Linked DNA regions of Arabidopsis thaliana. The protein of the gene in region 1 purifies or fractionates together with the protein of each later gene. This does not show direct contact. Each region holds a gene or a part of one and is shown on either strand. Other genes may lie near its edges.

Region 1 (3,493 bases):
ACACCATAAACCCCGTAAAATTAGTCAAAACAATTAATGTGATTTATGATAATTGTAATTAAATAAAAAAGATATTACTCGATTAGTAATTACTGATTAACTGAATCATTGATCTCATTAAACAATTAAAGAAAGATTACTCGATTAGTTAGCATTTAGTTTTAATTTTTTTAATATACTAAAAATACCAATCGGAAATTCAGTTACCAAAATTAGATTTATTAACATTTACTTTTTGAATTTTAGATGTACACCATAAACCCCGTAAAATTGGTCAAAGATTTATGATACTTGTAATTAAGGAAAGAACCAAATGCAATATATGGTTTCGGTGCAAAACCTTAAAACTGACCAACTTCTCAATTTTTTATTTAAAAACCCTACCAAATTTCTCTCTCGTTTCTCTCCGATGGCCAAGAACAAGACTTTGGTTACTCCATCAACGGTGAAGAAGTCATCTGACGTCGCATCTACGTCAAAGAAACTGTCGGGAGTCGCATCTCCAGCGAAGAAACCGTCGGGTGTCACATCTCCGGTCAAGAAGCCGTTGGAAGCCGTCGCATCAACTTCATCTGAGGAGGAGGAGGAAGATGAGCCTTCCAGCGATTCAGAGTCGGGATCGGAGAGTGAGTCTGACACTGAAGCTGAGCCGATGACTCTTGCTGCTGCTGCTCCTTCTTCTTCGAATGAGAAGAGACAAAGTGAAGGAAAACCAGAGGAGGAACGAGCCAAGACTGAAACAGAGACGGGGAAGAAGCCACTGTTGTTTCAGAGATTGTGGACTGATGAAGACGAGATCGTCTTTCTTCAAGGAATGATCAAATTTGCTAAGGATACAGGTAAGAATGTTTCCGAGGACATGAATGGCTTTTTCGAAAAACTTAAAGATTCGATTAGCTTTGAGGTGAAGACTGATCAGTTCGTTAACAAAATCCGGTCTATGAAGAGAAAGTATATTGAGAACAAGAAAACTACTACAGAGCATGATAAGAAGTGTTACGAATTGGCTGAGATAATTTGGGTAAGTGATGGTGATGCTACTGCTCTTGTGAAGCCAAAGAAGAAGAAGCTTAAGGTTGATGAAGAAAGTGATTGGTTCGAGAGGTCGTTTGTTGATGGTGCGTTTAAAGAATTGGGTCCGGGGGTTGATGAAGAGACATGGAAGAAGAATTGGAGTTTGGTACCGGTGAAGAAGAGGAAGAGGATAGAAGAAAAGGTGAAGTCCATGCAAGCTGATGAGCTCAAAACGACGTGGCAGAAGATTGACGTTGTGCATGAGATGAGATCTTTGATGGCTAAATATGTTTAGTCTTTATCTGTTTAGAGATGCATTTGCCTATGTTTTTCTTTTTGGTTTTGTGTTGGAACCTTTATGGCTTTCTCGTTTATTCATATGTTTTATGTTAAAGATGTTTTTTTGGATAACAAAAATAGGTGGTTTTTTGTTTGCATCTTAGTCTTCTTCCTTTGTTACTACAGACATGAAATCGTTAGATAATTATGATATGATATAAACTAATAATGATTCTAGGAGATAATTCCTAATGGATTTAAGATAAGTACATATCTTCTATATCTACCTTTACACACACGTTAACTTAGAAACAATCTACTTTGTTTTCTTCTGTTTGCCTAGTAAACAAATGGCGTCGATGATGTTTACTGATTGCTCCTCCTCCACAACGTCGCGTCTCATCCATTTATACAACCGCAATGGTGTTTTCCTCCCCCGCCCGAGCGTCAGCCAATTCAGCTTACGGACAACTGCGTCTACTTGGCGCTGCACTCTCTCCATTCGCTCCTCTTCTTCTCCATCTGCGATTGTAATTGATGGAAAGGCTGAGGCCAAAAAGATTAGAGATGATATCAAAATCGAAGTTTCAAGAATGAAGGAATCAATCGGTGTGGTTCCTGGTTTAGCAGTAATCCTTGTTGGAAAAGAACAAGGAATCCGCTACTTACGTGAGGAACAAGAAAATAGCTTGTGAATCCGTCGGAATTAAATCAGTCCAAGTTCGTCTAGCTGAAGATTCATCAGAAGAAGAGGTGTTGAAATATGTATCAGGATTCAATGATGATCCTTCTGTTCACGGAGTCCTTGTTCAGTTGCCTCTACCATCGGTAAACAAAGTCTATCTTCATATTCTTCATCATAACTTAAAATAAACAGTAAATTACAACGGTGTTTTGGGATGTCGTGTATATGCAGCATATGGATGAACAGAACATATTGAATGCGGTTAGTATAGAGAAGGACGTTGATGGATTTCACCCGCTAAATATTGGACGGCTTGCCATGCGTGGTAGAGAACCTTTATTCGTTCCATGTACTCCAAAAGGATGCATCGAGTTGTTGCACAGATACAACATTGAATTCAAAGGCAAAAGAGCAGTTGTTATTGGAAGGAGTAACATTGTTGGTATGCCAGCTGCTCTGTTGCTGCAGGTAATGATGATTCCTTCTTCAATATGCCATTTTTTCTGGTTAGGACAACATTCTTTATCGATGTTTATTTTCTAAATGTAGAAGGAGGATGCAACCGTTAGCATTATCCATTCAAGAACCATGAACCCTGAAGAACTCACAAGACAAGCTGATATCCTAATCTCAGCTGTTGGGAAACCAAACATGGTCAGAGGAAGCTGGATAAAACCGGGTGCAGTCCTCATCGATGTTGGGATTAAACCTGTTGAGGTGAGTGGAATTTTTTGACATATGGTAGTATAATGAATGATCAAATCAAATACAGTATGTGAAAGTAATATGAATTGCAGGATCCAAGTGCTGCCGGTGGAGAGCGGTTGGTTGGAGACATTTGCTATGTGGAGGCTAGCAAAATTGCATCAGCCATCACACCTGTTCCTGGTGATGTAGGACCAATGACCATAGCCATGCTTCTATCCAACACTTTAACATCAGCCAAGAGAATTCACAACTTCCAGTGACTTCAAAGATGATTGCTCGCCTTTTTTTAAATAAACAAATCTTACTTTGGTTTTTTGAAGCCAATGATTTTTGCTTAGCGTTAAGTCAGAAATAATATTATTTCGGTTCTTGTTCTTTGATTTTAGAGGTTACCTTATCCAGATTGTGAGTTCCCTGATTATCTTGCGGCTTTGCTAGATAATTATTTGGATCTTTATAAGTTTGTGTGTGAGCTTTTGTTCATTTTGGGAGTAGAACTACCATGAAGCAACTGTGGTGATTGGCAAAAGCATTTTTGCTTTATCAAATGTATCTTTTAACGTAATGTAAGTCTTGGAAGATAGCTTAAGGATGAAGTCATTACGATTGATGTTGGAAGTCATTTTGGTGTGTCCCATGACTCCTATGTTACAGATTCTGAAACTTTTCTCCACAAAATACCAAAACTTCAGAAATTAATCAGCAACAGGTTGGGCGGAGATCAATCCGGGCTTCAAAATGGTCTACCCCAGCCTCACTCATCTGTCTCCTCGTCCTGAGAATCGAAATCTGTCCAAGGATAAACAA
Region 2 (4,136 bases), on another chromosome or scaffold:
TGTGCGTTGCGTGATTACTGGTTGTTACTAGATTGTAATTCATTTTGTTTGTATTGTGCATTCAAATTTATCTTTTTGGTAAGAACACTGATTTTGTAACGTGTTTTCCGTGGATGACTAGACCATCATTTGGAAATATAAAGTAATGATGCCGACAAAAAAGGCAGTGTTTTATAAAATATAAGCCATATCATAATATCTTTGGACCGATCAATGAAAGAAATCGTCCATAAAAATGGATTAGTTTAATTCCAGTTTAGATTATTGGTATTCTCAAAAACTAATTAACGTATAGTTTTCTAGTTCTTTATTTGATACCAAGATTTGTGTAACTTAATATTTTCAAACGAGTTTACAAACACAACTAGACCGAGAAATAGATATATGATGTATTCATTAAAAAAGAAAAAATAGCTCTTGAGATTGAGAACTTGGGATCTTACTATCTTAGAAAAGTCACCACATGCCGCCATCATTTGTCCACTACGATTCAGACAGAAGATCCGATCTGTTTATATATATATATATAAAAGTAAAGACATTACTTTATGCCTTATGGTAACCCCCGATTACTATAACATTAAACTACTAATTAATTTGACAAAAGAAGTTGGACTGACTGCTTAATAAATGAATGTTAGTGACATACGTATATATTTTCGATAACGTGTATGGTATTTAAGGGCAGGGGGATTTGTACATTTGGAGTTTTATATGCTTAATATATCAAATGTTGTATAGATCCAGATCTTTGGTTTAAACCTCATTAGTTTCGATGTCAAATCAATTACAATATATATAGAAACTTTGCAATTACAATATTTAGTACCAAAAATCGGTGGAATTATGTACATATGAATATGATATAAATCACTACATTAATTTGTAATTGAGATGTATCTGTATATTTATTGAAATGATACTATGTTTAAAGGGTTACCGATTCGTTAACGGGTTCTTTTGCTAAGTTAGCTCTTTGATCTCATAAGATTCGGATGCTTAATATAATATACGCATTTATAGTCGATAATTGTGAATTGTAAATTCAAAACAGTAACGTGTTTTAAGTGTTTTTTTCTTTTTCTTCGAACTTTTTAATTTTCACTATTAAAAAATAGTATGAGTAGTAGTTGACCAGAAAAAGGGTGGTAAAAAGAAAAAAAAGAGATTCTTTAATTAAAATTGCAACGAATAATACATATTTTAAATTCAGACACCCAATGAAGTGGAATCTCCTTTGTGTTTAACTAATAATTTCTCACGCCACCGCTTTCACAGATCTCTGTCTAAAATTCAGACAACAATAAACTATTTTAAACACACAAAACCACTACGAAACACAATAATTCATGTTTAGGGTGATCTGTCACATATTATATTCATATATTGAAATAATTTTTTGTTATTCCTACTAACACATTTTTTTCAATGACATTTCCACGAAATAAAATTTATAAAGTCTTCTTATATTTACTGAATAAAAGTTCTACATTATGCTATTAAAAGTGTATAAAGTAACAACAAATTTATACATAATAACAAGTTTTCTTATAAAAATATTAATAGCATTTTTTTTTATCCATAGAACTATTTTTATCATATAATTTTAAAAACGGGATAACTTGTTTATTTTATGTTAAATTTAAGTTAACTAGTTGTATAAGTACTAATGAAAACATTTTCTTAAATTCAATAACAAAAATTTATCACTACTCCAATTATCTACACATGTTTTGCTTAATTTTTGGTAATGTCACCTAAATTTAACAATTTCCTAAAATATTCATGAAAAAAAACTCATGGGTCACAAATCTCAAATAAGAAACGATGGGTGGTCAAAAGAAAAAAACTAAAAAGATTATTGCTTCCCCGAGAAATTGGGATAAAAAGAAGCAACACCGATCACAACGTCTCCCTATACCATCTCCTTCAGATCCACACACTCTCTCTTATATCTCTCCGGCGAAAACTTTCCGATCACCGACAAAAAAAAAAAATGGTTGCAGACGCAAACGGTTCATCATCAAGCTCATTTAACTTCCTAATCTACGGTAAAACCGGATGGATCGGTGGTTTACTCGGTAAACTCTGCGAAGCTCAAGGAATCACTTACACTTACGGCTCCGGTCGTCTTCAAGATCGTCAATCGATCGTCGCCGACATCGAATCCGTGAAACCTAGCCACGTGTTCAACGCTGCTGGAGTCACCGGTCGTCCTAATGTTGATTGGTGCGAATCTCACAAAGTTGAGACGATTCGTACTAATGTCGCCGGAACCCTAACTCTCGCTGACATTTGCAGAGAGAAAGGACTTGTTCTGATCAATTACGCTACGGGTTGTATATTTGAGTATGATTCGGGTCATCCTCTCGGGTCGGGTATTGGATTCAAGGAGGAGGATACTCCTAATTTCACCGGATCTTTCTACTCTAAAACCAAAGCTATGGTGAGTAACTTTTTACATTTTCAATCCTTTTATTTATGAATAACTTCAGATTTGATCTGTATCTTTAGTTTCTTCTTTGAGTAAACCCCAAAATCTAAGATTTTTTAGTAAATTAAGTTCTGATTTGTGTGAATTGTTGAGGTTTTGACTTTTGAATGTAAGATTAGCTCTCAAATTGTTTCAGATGATTGTAGATTAGACTTGTGAGAGCTTCGTTAATTTACATTTTGACCCCTTTAGTTACTTAGGACATTATTCAGATTTGACCTGTTGCTAATTTGGTTTCAATACTTGTGATTGCTTAGGTCTTAGATGTTAAATTAGCAATAAAAATGTTCCAGATGAAATACTTTGACCAGAACTTATTGATTCATATAATCATTATCATGATAAGCTCGTGTATTGACTGTTGGAATCTGGTTTTGATCTTGGTGAATCATTCAGGTGGAGGAGCTGCTCAAGAACTATGAAAATGTATGCACGCTAAGAGTGCGAATGCCGATTTCATCGGATCTAACAAACCCGAGAAACTTCATCACGAAGATTGCTCGGTATGAGAAAGTTGTGGACATCCCAAACTCGATGACAATCCTCGATGAGCTTCTCCCGATATCAATCGAAATGGCGAAGAGGAACTTAACCGGGATCTACAATTTCACTAACCCGGGTGTTGTGAGCCACAACGAGATCTTGGAGATGTACAGAGACTACATTGACCCGAGTTTTACTTGGAAGAACTTCACATTGGAGGAACAAGCTAAAGTGATTGTGGCGCCAAGGAGTAACAATGAGCTTGATGCAACTAAGTTGAAGACTGAGTTCCCTGAGTTGATGTCTATCAAAGAGTCTCTGATCAAGTTCGTGTTTGAGCCCAACAAGAAGACTGAAGTTAAAGCTTGAAATGTGGTTTTGTAAGGTAAACGGTTCTTAACCCCAAAAAAACAAATCAAATGAAAGACAAAAAAAGTTTGGGTTTTTAAAAGAAGTATCTTTTTTTTTTTTGGGTTTATGGGCTGAAAAAATTGTTGTGTTTTTTGTATTTTATTTTTTTGTTTTTCTTTTTCCCAATGTTGTTGTATTGTTAAAATAAACTTTTGTTTCATTACAAATAAGAAATGTACTATTTTGCATTATTTACTCTTGTTAATCAAACTATCTTTCATCCAGAGGATCAGAAAGATCTTAGCCTTGGCCTAAAATATTACATTTGAAATCTGGATCGGAACGTAAATATGATAAACAAATGAAACATTGCCAGAGTTTCCAGCATATGCTGCATTGTTCAGCTAGCGTTTTTGGTAAACAGATGAATGTCACTACTCACTTCCTCAAACTTCAGTTTCCATTGGTCCCGGATCCAGTTTGAAACACCAAAATTGACGATCATTCCATTATTAAGATCAATTGATTTAGTTGGAATCTCCTTGAAATACTACTTTTCTTTGGATTTTGCAACACACTTTGCATCGTTATTGTAAGAGTGATGAAATTCACCTTTCAAAGCCGAATAACAGAGTATGTGTTTGATATGATCATGCATGAATGTGACTACACCATGTCATTTTTTAATACTTAAAATCACAATTTGACATAATCTATTCAAAAACTTCTTTTAAACATTCTCAGTCTCAAAATATGAGACAAAAGAAAAAAGAAAAAACTCGACCCACGCGCGTCTATTGGGCTCAGT
Region 3 (6,270 bases), on another chromosome or scaffold:
TTGCGGAATGGGCTTTAAGCTGGCAAAAACAGAGAAACCTCGAGTCCATCATCGACTCAAATCTGAGGGGAAACTACAGTCCTGAATCGTTGGAGAAGTATGGGGAGATAGCAGAGAAGTGCTTAGCGGATGAAGGGAAGAACAGGCCAATGATGGGAGAAGTGTTATGGAGCTTGGAGTATGTTTTGCAGATTCATGAAGCTTGGCTTCGCAAACAGAATGGAGAAAACTCGTTTTCGAGCAGCCAAGCGGTAGAAGAAGCACCAGAGAGCTTTACTCTTCCAGCTTGTTCCAATCAAGATTCCTCAGAAACTGAGCAGAGCCAAACAGGATCTGCTCTTCACAATTCGGCTTAGAGGAAGCAATTGGATTGGCCAGTCCCAAAATAATTCTTTTGTTCTTTTGTTATAATTGATTGTGATCTATCCAGAAGCTCTTTTGTAATAGAGCTTGTAATATACACTGCAAATATAATTTCCTTAAGGTATTCGTTTAATCATTCTTTCCATTTGTTTCCTTCGCTAATAAGTGCACCAGAAGTTGTTTGCTGGGTTTCTTCAACTCATTCTCACGCACAATTACTCAAGGTTCTTTCCAAATAGTAGAGAAAAACTTATTGAAAGAGTTCTAAACGATACAGCAGGCTTAATGCTCTGTCTAAAGGCAAAGACATGTCTTAGCTAACTGCAAAATGTAAAGAGTTACAAATACTTGTTTGGTAAAGCCACTCAAAAACGGAAAATACAGCTTGGTTCCTTTCTCGGAAATGGATAGAGCTTCAAGATCCAGAGAGGACACCGCGGATAGGTGGACAGACGGATGGATCTCATTTCTTCCCACCACCGGAAACATTGAACTTGAAGAAAATGATATCTCCATCCTGAACAACATATGTTTTACCCTCCTGTCTGTATTTTCCTGCGGCCTGCATTAGTTGAAGGGATTATAAATTAGACCAAGTGTCATCGCCATGAACATTATAAATATAATCATGCCTCTTCAACGAGGATATCTTGCACAGTGGAGAGCTTCCTTAACATTTTCATGTCTGTTTTTAGAGGCTACTTACTCCACCGAGACCTTAAGAGATTGTAGAAGGAAAAGAAGTTATAGACAAATACCTTGACTGCAGGTTCATTGCCAAGTTCCTTGAGATCCTCGAATTTCATGACCTGTGACATCAACAACAACATTGGAATAAATCACATTGAATTTCAAAACAGAAAAATATTTGATTAGATATGGTTTGCATTAGGATTCTGCTTTGATATCTACAGGCCTGCATCGATACTAGGAAATCAACACCAAGATGAATATAAGAATATGCAAGCAAGCATTTGTTTTTGTCAGTGAAAACATAAGAAAGATTATATAAACTCTATAACAGAACAAATCATCAAAATCTGGAGGGGAAAGGCTTTACGCATGTAAATTTTAGGTAGGAATAAACTAGTGAATTGACCAAGATTCAAGAGAAATGAGAAAATGGTACCTCAGCACAAATAAATCCTCTCTCAAAATCAGTATGAATGGCCCCTGCAGCTTGAGGAGCCTTTGACTGCCGTCTTATTTGCCAGCACTTCACCTGCAAATCAAAGTATCATTGATGGATGTATTTTATAAACCATCAAATTCCAGTAACAATGCACTACTTGACACATAACACTGATCATGCACTACCAAATAGCTCATTACAGAACAATTATGCTTAGAAGAATTTCACAGAGAACTAGAGACTAAAGCGTGTAGTGAAGCCAAGTAAAGTGGGACTGTTAATACCTCATCAGGCCCTGCTGTAAAGAAGTATATGAGGTTAATTGCTGAAAATCCAGTTTTGATGATCCTCGGAAGAGCACTGTCAAAGCAGCAATGGCCATAAGATTCAATTTAACAGATTCATAAAGAAAAATCATCTTCAGGAGCAACTATTCATTCGCAAGGTGCTGTTCTTTTATTCCTAACCTTTGCAGTTTGTTCTCCTCACAATACTTTGCTGCTTCATCTGGGGCCATATCAGCGAGACTCCTTTCAAACACACCACTGAAAGGAATCATAGTATCACCACCGTGTTCTTGAACCCTACATAATGATGAAACAGATATTTTTAGTTTAGGAGAAGTATAATAAGGTAAGTAAATGTGTAAGCACGTAGCCATATTAGAAACTTTTGCAACAACCAAGGGGCAAAATGTTTTACTTATTATTCAACATAGTTTGTGAAAGGATATATATTAGTACCAGGCATGAATCTTTGGCAAGAACTTGTTTTTCTTCCTCTGATAGTCTCTCTCATTCAGGTTAATCTGTAATTTAAATTTCAGAGTAACCAGTGATCACAAAAAGTCCAACCAAGATGCCTTAATAGTTCTTACACTGAGATGAAACACATAGTTGAAACAAACATGAAAGCATAGAGATCAGAAATAGCTAAGGAACACACTATGGTTAAATTTGGGGGCAAATAGTGTCACAAAAATAGACAGTATGACCTACATTTTGCAAACTGACCCGAAAAAAATTGAGGGAACAAAATTGTCGACTATAGATATGAAAGAAGCAAATGCATTTATCTTGATAGAAACAATGGTAACAGAAAGAGATGAACATTCAAGACTACTCACCAAGTAAACAACGGGCTTTGCAGAAAGCAATTGGAAAGTGTTCAAAATCTCGATATCAGCTGTTTTCCAGTCCCCAAAACGGACATCCTTACCATCTTCTAGCCAAGCTTTTACCTAAACCAGAGAGGTACAGTCATTTTTTCGGCCAATTAATAATTAATGAGCAATAACATTTGCAGAACAAGACTGCATGGTTGTCAAATTATAGCATACCTTTTGCAAGAGCTCAAGTTCTATTTTCAGCTGCTTGTCATTGCTCCTCTTCATGCTCTTCTCGACATCATCAATCTTCTTTCCAACAAATTCAATATCCTAAAGTTGCACCAAAGAATTCAGTTTGAAACCAAAACAACAATGGATGAAATGAAGATCCAACTAATACAAAAAACAGACTACTGTATTAATATACACAGAAAGGATTTCACGAGTTTGGAGATATAGCAGTCAAATATCTGTTTAGAGATTTGATTCACCTTTAGCCGCAACTCTTCAGTAATGGTCTCCAAATCTCTAACAGGATCCACGATATCGTCGACATGGATAATATCAGCATCTTCAAAAGCACCTGCATATGTTCAATCGAAAAGTCACTAACCACTATATAACTGGCAAGATATCTTACTATCAGCAACTATTAAAGAAACATCCCCGTTGTTCAAGAACAGATATGCTTGGAGAGGAAAACATAAACTAACTATCGCAATGGCCCTATAGGTATCAAATGGGAAGAAAAATATATAAAGGTTTTTAACCTGTCTCTCATTGAAAAGCCTGCTCAAGTAGAAATTCAAGACAGCACAAGTAGCAGTACAGTCTAAATTATTCATCAAATCACGCATCACACTAAAACAAAGCTGGCACTAGGAGAAAAAGCGAGAGGGAAAAACCATACGTAAAACATGGAAAATTCCATCAACTGCACGAATATGGGACAAGAAGTTGTTTCCAAGACCCTGTCCTTCATGAGCTCCTCTAACAAGCCCAGCAATGTCATGAATTTCCAAGAAAGCTGGAATCTGAGGCATCAAAACAGACAGAAGTCAGCCCATTCATAAAGTAATTCAGATAGTAGTAATCTCTTCCTTAACAGCAAGTCATGAAATAAAGTTACAAACTTACCTCACTCTTAGGCTTGTAAGTTTGGCAAAGCCAATCGAACCTCTCATCGGGGATATTCACACGTGCCTCATTAGGCTCAATGGTACAAAAGGGGAAATTCTCAGCTGGAATTGAAAGCTTTGTAAGAGTGTTGAAAAGAGTAGATTTTCCAACATTTGGTAACCCAACCTGCGATGCCACAAACAATTCCCATAGTGAATAACATCAATACTTCTCCATATCATCATATCAACCATGAACAATCAACCTTAATCACTGTATCAAAGAAGCAGTTTCTTAAATATGGATTAAACATCTAAAAGAGTACAGTGACAAACACAACGAAACAAACAATATCATCATGCATCACTGATGAGTTAATAGATCTCTCCCGGCAAAACTCAGAAGAAGAAAAAAAAAAAAAACTTTTATCGAGGAAAGTATTGCGATGAGCAAATCTACCATTCACCATTCGAAATTAATCAACTTGGATTCTAAAAGAGAGATGAAGAGAAAAATTACAATTCCGATCTTGAGGTGAGAAGAGAAACGGCCAAGAATAGGCCTCTCTACGGGACCTGCATCTTTAGCTTTGGCTTTCGGAGGCATCTTTCTCAAAGTCTCGAGCTTGAAAGTGAAGCGAAGCTCTAAGATATTCTAGGGTTTTTGCTGATTAACAAAGCCTAGCAGAAGAAGCTACAAGACGCCGACGCCGAGGTTAAAGAGAGATTGCTCAGCTGGTTTACGGACCGGTTTAAATCGGAGGGTCAATTCCCGGTTTACTTTTAACCATTTGCGGGACATTTACCAAAATACAAAGAGCTATTTTTAACCAATTTTGTGGACAAAGTAAACCCAATATTGAACACTAAACCGAGAAATCAATCATTCAGCATTTCAACTTAACCAAATTAAACCGAAACTCAAATTAGGTAATCATAAACCAACTGACTAAATTTTACTTCATAGATGTTCTTCAAAATTTTGCTACAAAACCACATGCGATCAGATAATACCACAGACTCGCACAAAACTCATGTCAACTTCTTTTTTTTAGAGTTTACGCACTAGCTAAGAGATTGTAATAAGAAACCTACATTGCAAAATTGCATTCCCTCTCTCTATGACTATTAGATTAAGAAGGATTCAGGAGGACTAGTGGATGGTCTGATTCTTGAAGGCATCTTCAAGAGCCTCTCTGTTTCTCGCATGAAAGAGTGTTTCGGAGTTGTAGACATCGTGTTCATCTCACTATCAAGTTCAACGTCATCGTCAGGTTCCTCCGCACTGTCTGCATCTCCATTCACTATGACCTCATCACAAAGCTCTTCGTCACCATCTTCTCCATAAGTCGTTTTCACCATTGACCAGAAGTTGAAGTTCGGGGAGATGTAGCTTCAAGAATTGACAAGAAAACACGTGTGAGAAAGAGAGTTCAAGCCTATCCAATGCAAATACTTTGATTCATCACTTGTTTTATCATATTAAAATAATTTTCAATGTCATTTCAAGACTGTAATTAAGATGTATGCAGTAGAATTTGTATCAAATATGCCCAGGTCGGGTAAATTCATCCAGTGAGTCAAGAACCTTGTGTAAGATTCTCACATTGATTTGTCCTTACTTTGGAAGAGAAAAAATAATCAAGAGTAAAGATAGCAAACCTGCTAGACATTTTCAACAAGCACGGGTCAAACGGGAAGAATGTGTCAAGCCTTTCAAAGCCACCAAAAGCACGAGAGAGCTCAGACTCGTGTAGGTCATCGAAAATGAAGGATTCTGAGACAATGAACAGACCACCAGCTTTGGCTTGTTTAAGGAACTCGGAAACTACAGATGGAAGACACACCTGTTCACACAAAATGAATGGTGCAAGCATAATGCATTTGATACTTGGAGTGAAGACTACTTAAAATAACAGTTGAGCTATGAGAAGAAAATGATTAGTGTAAGTCACCCACCAGTAGTGGGTTTAGTTTGTGAGATAAAATTGACTCCAATGATCTAAACTGCGATTGAAAGCGAGGAATCTCCACTATGGATCTCATTCGGAAGCATAGCACATACAAGATTGCCTACAGTCATAGAAAAGTAACAACTTTAAGCGATACATGACATAATAGCATATGATCCCAAACGCCAATAAGCTTCTGGTAAGGGTGTGAACATTAACAATGATTGATAACTAGAGACGTCAATGATTTCACAGAAGAGTTCTTAAGGAATCAAAAGCCATAAGATGGTCTTAAACTTGGACTATACCTGACATCCAGAATAGAACACTTGATGTGCTTCTGGCTTCACATCATCATTGCATGTTCCGCAATATTCCGCACACTCGTCCACCAATCTAGGATTTCAGCAAAAGAGAAACTATGTTACAACAAAGCGAGACTTAAATCAGATCAAACAATTACATTTTCCATTTTTTAGCAATACGTACCTTTTCAACATGCTAGCCACAAAAGAAGCAGGCAAAAACTTTCCACGAGACAAATAGCTAGCTAGATAAGCCACTGCACTCATCCTGTTAAGTATAAAGAGAAAACAA
Region 4 (6,125 bases), on another chromosome or scaffold:
TGTGTCACATTACATTATACATTACAGTTCCACGTGGTATTTTTTATGATTTATTAAATTTGTATGTGTTAAATAAATTTATACTTCATTCATATAGATAAGAAATGTATACTTTACAGTTTACATGTGTATTTGTTATTAAAAAAAGATAATATAAAAGAATAAGATATGGGAATGTTTACCCTAAAATCATATATAAGAGATTCAATTATCTTTTTATCTCATTTAATTTTGAGTCAGGAAAAAATATATATACAGAGAAGAAACAAAATTATTAAAAATGTAAAATTTATTGGTTAACATTTTGTCTTTACAAAAAACATAGATATGTTAATATAACGAATATAGTAAATGATAGAATAAAGATATTTAGTATGGTTAAGTAAGAAAATTAACATTTTCAATAATTTCGTCTCTTCTTTGCATAGGATTTGTTTGCCAACTCAAAGTATATTAGATAAAAAGATAAGATTGAAAACTAAAGTTGATAAGATATTATATTGTTTCACAAAAATTAGACATTGGATAGATGTTTAAGATTAAATAATCTTGTTAGAAATAAAACTGAAGTCTATGATGTTGCATGTAAGAGCTAATACAGTAAAATAAAATTATAAATTAATAACATGGGGAATAAAATATTTTATTGATTTATATAAGTGTTAATTTTTAGATGTAGTAAAAATATTGAAAATGACTTTTTCACAAAAATTAAAACAAATTCAAAGAAAAACAAATAACATTTTTATCCAATTACGTTATATATTATATTCGTCCAACTTTGAACCGGAAAAGTTTATTAATTTACAATGATTATTAAATTGACAAGTATTAATATATAGATGTTTCACTCTAATAGGTTAAATGGACAACTATATGCGAAAATATTAGGGCGATATTACAATAATCACAATGTAAAGATAGACAAGCACAATGTAAAGCTGATCACGTACAGTTTTGTTTCTTCCTCTTCAATGTTAATCTCTCCATTCAGTTAGAGTTAATTTCTAGTCTGATACATAACAAAACTACAAAGTTTCTCGAGTTTTTTTGTTATTTGATAACTCTCTACACGATCTAATTTCAATATTACATGTCGGAAAACTTCCGGAAAGTACCACACAAATGTTTGTAAGATTGAGTAAAATTGAGTAAAGAGAGCTTTAATCTCCCATATTTGCAAGTCGATATAAATTTGGTATCACGGCGTGTAAGAGATCTTGACATGCTAACCTTACGCAGATGTGCATTGTTGCAGTGCCATATTGTCATTATTGGTAATATATATGCCTAAGTAAAGTTCATATTGATAAAAATTTTATTCAAACACTATTGCATCTGCTTGTCAATCGCATAATAACATTATTAATTGAAAATGTAGTTTTCACTATTATACAATATCCGTTCTTATTTCGTTTAAACCGGCCGAGCCCATAGTATTGCAAACTATCACACCATATGGGCTTTAACTTTACGTTGGTAAAACGTAAAAAGAAAATAGCGATCAAGTCTCAAGAAGGGTACTTTTAGAATTAATAGCAACTTTAAGGCGTAAATAGAAGTAATACAAATAGTTGGGGTTATTATGTAAATATGAAGAAGATTAAGATCCAGAAGATGGAAATGAAAAACACGGCACGCATTTCAAAGCCCAAAACGGGCGGGGGCAAACGTCACGCCTAATCTTATCTTCTTCTATCACACTCTCAGCTTATCTATGACTATGACTCTCATCATCAATTATTTCACACTATTAACAATCACCAAACCAGTGTGAACATTTTAATTCATAATTAGAGTAAGGTCATTAGGCTAAAAACTGTTTGATTTGGATTTTACAACTATAGGATAAGAACTTGTATCGCTGTCACAGATGATATTTTTTGGTCGTTTAAGCAAAGAAATATTACGAAAAAGAGATATTTTTTATTCTTACTTATTTTGGGATTATCATTTACCCGGAACGGGCAAAGCGGTGAGTCATCTTACCTTATAAATGATCACAAACCCGAGGACTGTGAGTTTTCGTGTAGAACAAATCCTTCTCTGAGAAAAAACAACAGATCCGAATTTTATCTTTAATCAGCCGGAAAAAATGGAGAAAGCGATCGAGAGACAACGCGTTCTTCTTGAGCATCTCCGACCTTCTTCTTCTTCTTCGCACAATTACGAGGCTTCTCTATCTGTAAGCATTCTATCACCACACACTCTCTCTCTCTCGATCTATCGCGATCTTTTGGTTGTCTTCTCTTGTGTTTGCAGTCTGGGGATTATGGATCGTTGTTGATCTGGATTCATTATATGGAATTTTCGATTTTGATTTTGATGCTGAATTATAATTTGATTCGAGGCGTGCCTGTGAGCTGAAAATTTTAAGTTTCAGCTCGATTGAGATCAAATTCAAGACTTGGATTTTGTTTTTGTATTTCGTTCACTGGATTGAGATAGATATCTTTTTTTTTTTTGTTGTTGTTTGATTTTTGTTCGATTGGGTTGAATTATCCGTGCTCTGCATGTACTGATGATTTCTTAAAAGTCAAAGCTTGATTTCAATTACTACGTGTGATCTCTTTAACGTGTTCTTTCCAAATTCCCAGGCTTCTGCTTGCTTGGCTGGGGACAGTGCTGCATATCAGAGGACCTCTCTCTATGGAGATGATGTTGTCATTGTCGCGTAAGTCCCATCTCTTATGCTTTTACTCTTTTGGTATTTGGTTTTTCAGCAACGTATGAAGATTTCTCGTCTCTTTCTGATAGACTTACACTTATTGATCCATTGCAGGGCACATAGGACTCCACTATGCAAGTCCAAACGTGGCAATTTCAAGGATACATATCCCGATGATTTGCTCGCACCTGTTTTGAGGGTCTGTCGCTATCTTTTCTATTCTGTTGTTGGTTTTTATTTCCTTTCTACGTCTATTTATAGATAGTTCTTCCTTGACATAGGCATTGATAGAGAAGACGAATCTAAACCCAAGTGAAGTAGGTGACATTGTTGTGGGTACTGTTTTGGCACCTGGATCTCAGAGAGCCAGTGAATGCAGGATGGCTGCGTTCTATGCTGGTTTCCCTGGTATGTTTCTTCTATGTACAGTACAATACAATGGTGAAAAGTCTTTGTTTTTATTTCCTGTATGCTCATCCTGTTATGTTCATTTGCAGAAACCGTGGCTGTCAGAACTGTGAATAGACAGTGCTCATCTGGGCTTCAGGCTGTTGCTGATGTAGCCGCTGCCATTAAAGCGGGATTTTATGACATTGGTTAGTGAATAACCGTCTTTAACTACGCCACATTTTTTCATAGAGAACCGAGCTGACGATATGATGGATGCAGGTATCGGGGCTGGTTTGGAGTCCATGACTACCAATCCAATGGCATGGGAAGGGTCAGTCAACCCAGCGGTACTGATTCTCTCTTATCTGGAGTCTTACTTGGCTCTGTTATTTTAATACGTACTATAATACGGACTATGTTATTTCAGGTGAAGAAGTTTGCACAAGCGCAGAATTGTCTTCTTCCTATGGGTGTTACGTCAGAAAATGTAGCACAACGCTTTGGTGTCTCAAGGCAGGAGCAAGATCAAGCTGCTGTAAGGGAACTGAACTTTTTCAGTATGGTTGTATTTTAAATAACCTATAACTTTGATCGCTATGCTAAGCTATGGAGTCATATTGCTAGGTTGACTCGCACAGAAAGGCAGCTGCTGCTACTGCTGCTGGTAAATTCAAGGATGAGATCATTCCTGTTAAGACCAAGGTATTTTTCAGATCCTTCATACAATAACTGTAACATTTAAGACTTCTCTTGGTGGATTAGTTACTGAACTTCATTCATGTTCTAGTATTAGTCAATAACGTGTGTTTTAAATTTCAGCTTGTTGACCCGAAGACTGGTGATGAGAAACCCATTACAGTTTCTGTTGATGATGGTATCCGACCAACCACAACTCTTGCTTCTCTTGGGAAGCTGAAGCCAGTGTTTAAGAAGGATGGCACCACTACTGCTGGTACTTTTCCCGAATCAATTGTTTCATTATGGAAACCACAGTTCTTATTATCACAATTTTAAATCCATTGCTTCATTTGTTCTGTCGCAAACAGGAAATTCCAGCCAAGTAAGTGATGGTGCAGGAGCGGTTCTCCTAATGAAGAGAAGTGTTGCAATGCAAAAAGGACTTCCCGTTCTTGGTGTATTCAGGTGGGTAATAATTACTTACAAAGCTACGACTGTGGAAGTCTGAAAACCGAAAAAACTGCAGAGGCTTGTGATTTCCATTTACACAGATATGCTAGTATACGTGGAAAATACATTGTTCTTTCTGTATTTGGCTTTTTCTAAGTAGCACACTATTGGACATATTGCAGGACATTTGCTGCAGTTGGTGTTGACCCTGCAATCATGGGTATCGGTCCAGCAGTTGCCATTCCTGCTGCAGTTAAGGCGGCTGGTTTAGAACTTGATGACATCGACTTGTTTGAGATCAATGAGGTATATAGCAAACAATTTCATGATCTTCTTATCACATATCTCTTCCCGCACATTCTGATGATGACCATCTGTTTGAATCCTTGTGTGTTCAGGCATTTGCATCTCAGTTTGTTTATTGCCGTAACAAATTGGGACTTGACCCAGAGAAAATCAATGTCAACGGAGGTGCAATGGCCATAGGCCATCCTTTGGGCGCTACAGGTATATCTGTTAAGAACAGGACTAAAACTGTTAAGCTTGTTCCAATTTACCAAACCATAGAGACTTGAATTAATGAGAATCTCTCAACTCTCAACCAAACCTTAAGAAATCCACAGCCGAGATATATCTTTATAAACTCTGTCCTCACTAATGGTTCTTTAACCAACTTACAAGAGCTCTATCTTGCCGCAGTCCGTCCTTTTCAAAGCATATCAATGTCTACATTGTGTCTATATAATTATAAAACGCTCATGAACAGTTGCTAATACTTGTTAAAACTCTCACAGGAGCGCGTTGTGTTGCTACATTGTTGCACGAGATGAAACGCCGTGGTAAAGACTGCCGTTTTGGAGTAGTGTCAATGTGCATTGGTATGCTTCTCACTCGAATAATTCATTGTGAATTTGGTGTCTGAAATATGTGTCTGAGGGATGGTTTTACTGATTTGGTAAACTCTGGCAGGGACGGGGATGGGTGCAGCAGCTGTGTTTGAGAGAGGAGATGGAGTTGATGAGCTTCGCAACGCAAGGAAAGTTGAAGCGCAAGGTCTTTTGTCCAAGGACGCTCGCTAGAGAGGACCATGCACCAAAACCGTTTTTCACCTCACCTCTCTCTTTTCTGGTCTTCTTGTCACTTTCTTCAGATATTATTATAGTTTCGAATAAAGCACACAACCAATGTTTGCCTGAGTCTTGTGTTGTTCTTGACCAGGTCATGTGTTTAGTATTTTTTTTAAGTGAAGGGGGATAATCTTTAAATCTTTTATATGTAAGAATATTGTTCTTCTCGAATTTCATCAGTTGTTGCTTCTAGAAATTTTAGATTTTTTGGGTGGCAGCCATTTCTATATTTCGATGGATAAGTCAAACGTTCATAAAGTCAAGGGTTCTGCCTTTTGTTTGTGTTTCATGATTTTACCTTGAATTTCATTAACTAAAACAGTGTTAATAGTAACAGTTGGGGTGGTGGCGCAGTTGGCTAGCGCGTAGGTCTCATAGCTACTGAGTGATCCTGAGGTCGAGAGTTCGAGCCTCTCTCACCCCATAATTTTATTTTCTCATAGCTATTTATATAACGTTCCTTCTAGTATTTTTTTTTCTTTTCGTTATAGTATCTTGTCTTTGATACCGGAGACGTTATAACGGCAGTATAAGACGTTATAATCATGTTCCAATGCATCCCCTCAGTTTTGTGTTAAAAACGAGCCATCAATGTTATCATATATGGAAATCATTATTGAGGCTTTGACCAATTAATTATGCGAATTGACCGACTTTGATCACTATACAGAGCAAAACAAATCCACTGAATCATTTATTTGTGTAGGTTCATCTTTTTTGGGCACCGTATTCATTTCTTATTCCATGAATTTGACGGAGTAATTTTGATTTTCTTTTTCGAGTAAGAATCTGGTCAAATATTCGATGAACCT

The links.
Region 2: the proteins of AT4G00600 (region 1) and NRS/ER fractionate together in Arabidopsis thaliana (co-fractionation; one large-scale study listed by BioGRID). This does not show direct contact.
Region 3: the proteins of AT4G00600 (region 1) and AT1G30580 fractionate together in Arabidopsis thaliana (co-fractionation; one large-scale study listed by BioGRID). This does not show direct contact.
Region 4: the proteins of AT4G00600 (region 1) and PKT3 fractionate together in Arabidopsis thaliana (co-fractionation; one large-scale study listed by BioGRID). This does not show direct contact.

What each region holds. Positions count from the first base shown.
Region 1 is NC_003075.7:254,773-258,265, reverse strand, and holds AT4G00600 (Amino acid dehydrogenase family protein), read left to right. Parts: upstream 1-1,655; coding exon 1,656-1,914; intron 1,915-2,023; coding exon 2,024-2,121; intron 2,122-2,209; coding exon 2,210-2,446; intron 2,447-2,527; coding exon 2,528-2,695; intron 2,696-2,775; coding exon 2,776-2,946; downstream 2,947-3,493. Other genes in the region: AT4G00610 (DNA-binding storekeeper protein-related transcriptional regulator), read left to right, coding at 323-1,309; AT4G00590 (N-terminal nucleophile aminohydrolases (Ntn hydrolases) superfamily protein), read right to left, coding at 3,386-3,475. UniProt on the Arabidopsis thaliana protein: Catalyzes the oxidation of 5,10-methylenetetrahydrofolate to 5,10-methenyltetrahydrofolate and then the hydrolysis of 5,10-methenyltetrahydrofolate to 10-formyltetrahydrofolate.
Region 2 is NC_003070.9:23,340,514-23,344,649, forward strand, and holds NRS/ER (nucleotide-rhamnose synthase/epimerase-reductase), read left to right. Parts: upstream 1-1,697; 5' UTR 1,698-1,996; coding exon 1,997-2,446; intron 2,447-2,890; coding exon 2,891-3,346; 3' UTR 3,347-3,607; downstream 3,608-4,136. UniProt on the Arabidopsis thaliana protein: Bifunctional enzyme involved in dTDP-beta-L-rhamnose biosynthesis. Catalyzes the epimerization of the C3' and C5'positions of dTDP-6-deoxy-4-keto-alpha-D-glucose to form dTDP-4-keto-beta-L-rhamnose and its reduction to yield dTDP-beta-L-rhamnose.
Region 3 is NC_003070.9:10,831,127-10,837,396, forward strand, and holds AT1G30580 (GTP binding protein), read right to left. Parts: upstream 4,510-6,270; 5' UTR 4,329-4,509; coding exon 4,242-4,328; intron 3,909-4,241; coding exon 3,741-3,908; intron 3,638-3,740; coding exon 3,514-3,637; intron 3,187-3,513; coding exon 3,095-3,186; intron 2,934-3,094; coding exon 2,835-2,933; intron 2,736-2,834; coding exon 2,622-2,735; intron 2,304-2,621; coding exon 2,239-2,303; intron 2,080-2,238; coding exon 1,963-2,079; intron 1,856-1,962; coding exon 1,780-1,855; intron 1,586-1,779; coding exon 1,493-1,585; intron 1,173-1,492; coding exon 1,122-1,172; intron 926-1,121; coding exon 827-925; 3' UTR 547-826; downstream 1-546. Other genes in the region: HERK2 (hercules receptor kinase 2), read left to right, coding at 1-356; AT1G30590 (RNA polymerase I specific transcription initiation factor RRN3 protein), read right to left, coding at 4,850-5,114, 5,384-5,568, 5,681-5,794, 5,982-6,069, 6,163-6,246. UniProt on the Arabidopsis thaliana protein: Hydrolyzes ATP, and can also hydrolyze GTP with lower efficiency. Has lower affinity for GTP. Exhibits GTPase activity.
Region 4 is NC_003071.7:14,046,954-14,053,078, reverse strand, and holds PKT3 (peroxisomal 3-ketoacyl-CoA thiolase 3), read left to right. Parts: upstream 1-1,678; 5' UTR 1,679-2,095; coding exon 2,096-2,185; intron 2,186-2,597; coding exon 2,598-2,674; intron 2,675-2,782; coding exon 2,783-2,867; intron 2,868-2,949; coding exon 2,950-3,076; intron 3,077-3,165; coding exon 3,166-3,264; intron 3,265-3,337; coding exon 3,338-3,405; intron 3,406-3,485; coding exon 3,486-3,593; intron 3,594-3,682; coding exon 3,683-3,760; intron 3,761-3,877; coding exon 3,878-4,010; intron 4,011-4,104; coding exon 4,105-4,201; intron 4,202-4,368; coding exon 4,369-4,492; intron 4,493-4,584; coding exon 4,585-4,693; intron 4,694-4,980; coding exon 4,981-5,064; intron 5,065-5,155; coding exon 5,156-5,265; 3' UTR 5,266-5,601; downstream 5,602-6,125. UniProt on the Arabidopsis thaliana protein: Involved in long chain fatty-acid beta-oxidation prior to gluconeogenesis during germination and subsequent seedling growth. Confers sensitivity to 2,4-dichlorophenoxybutiric acid (2,4-DB).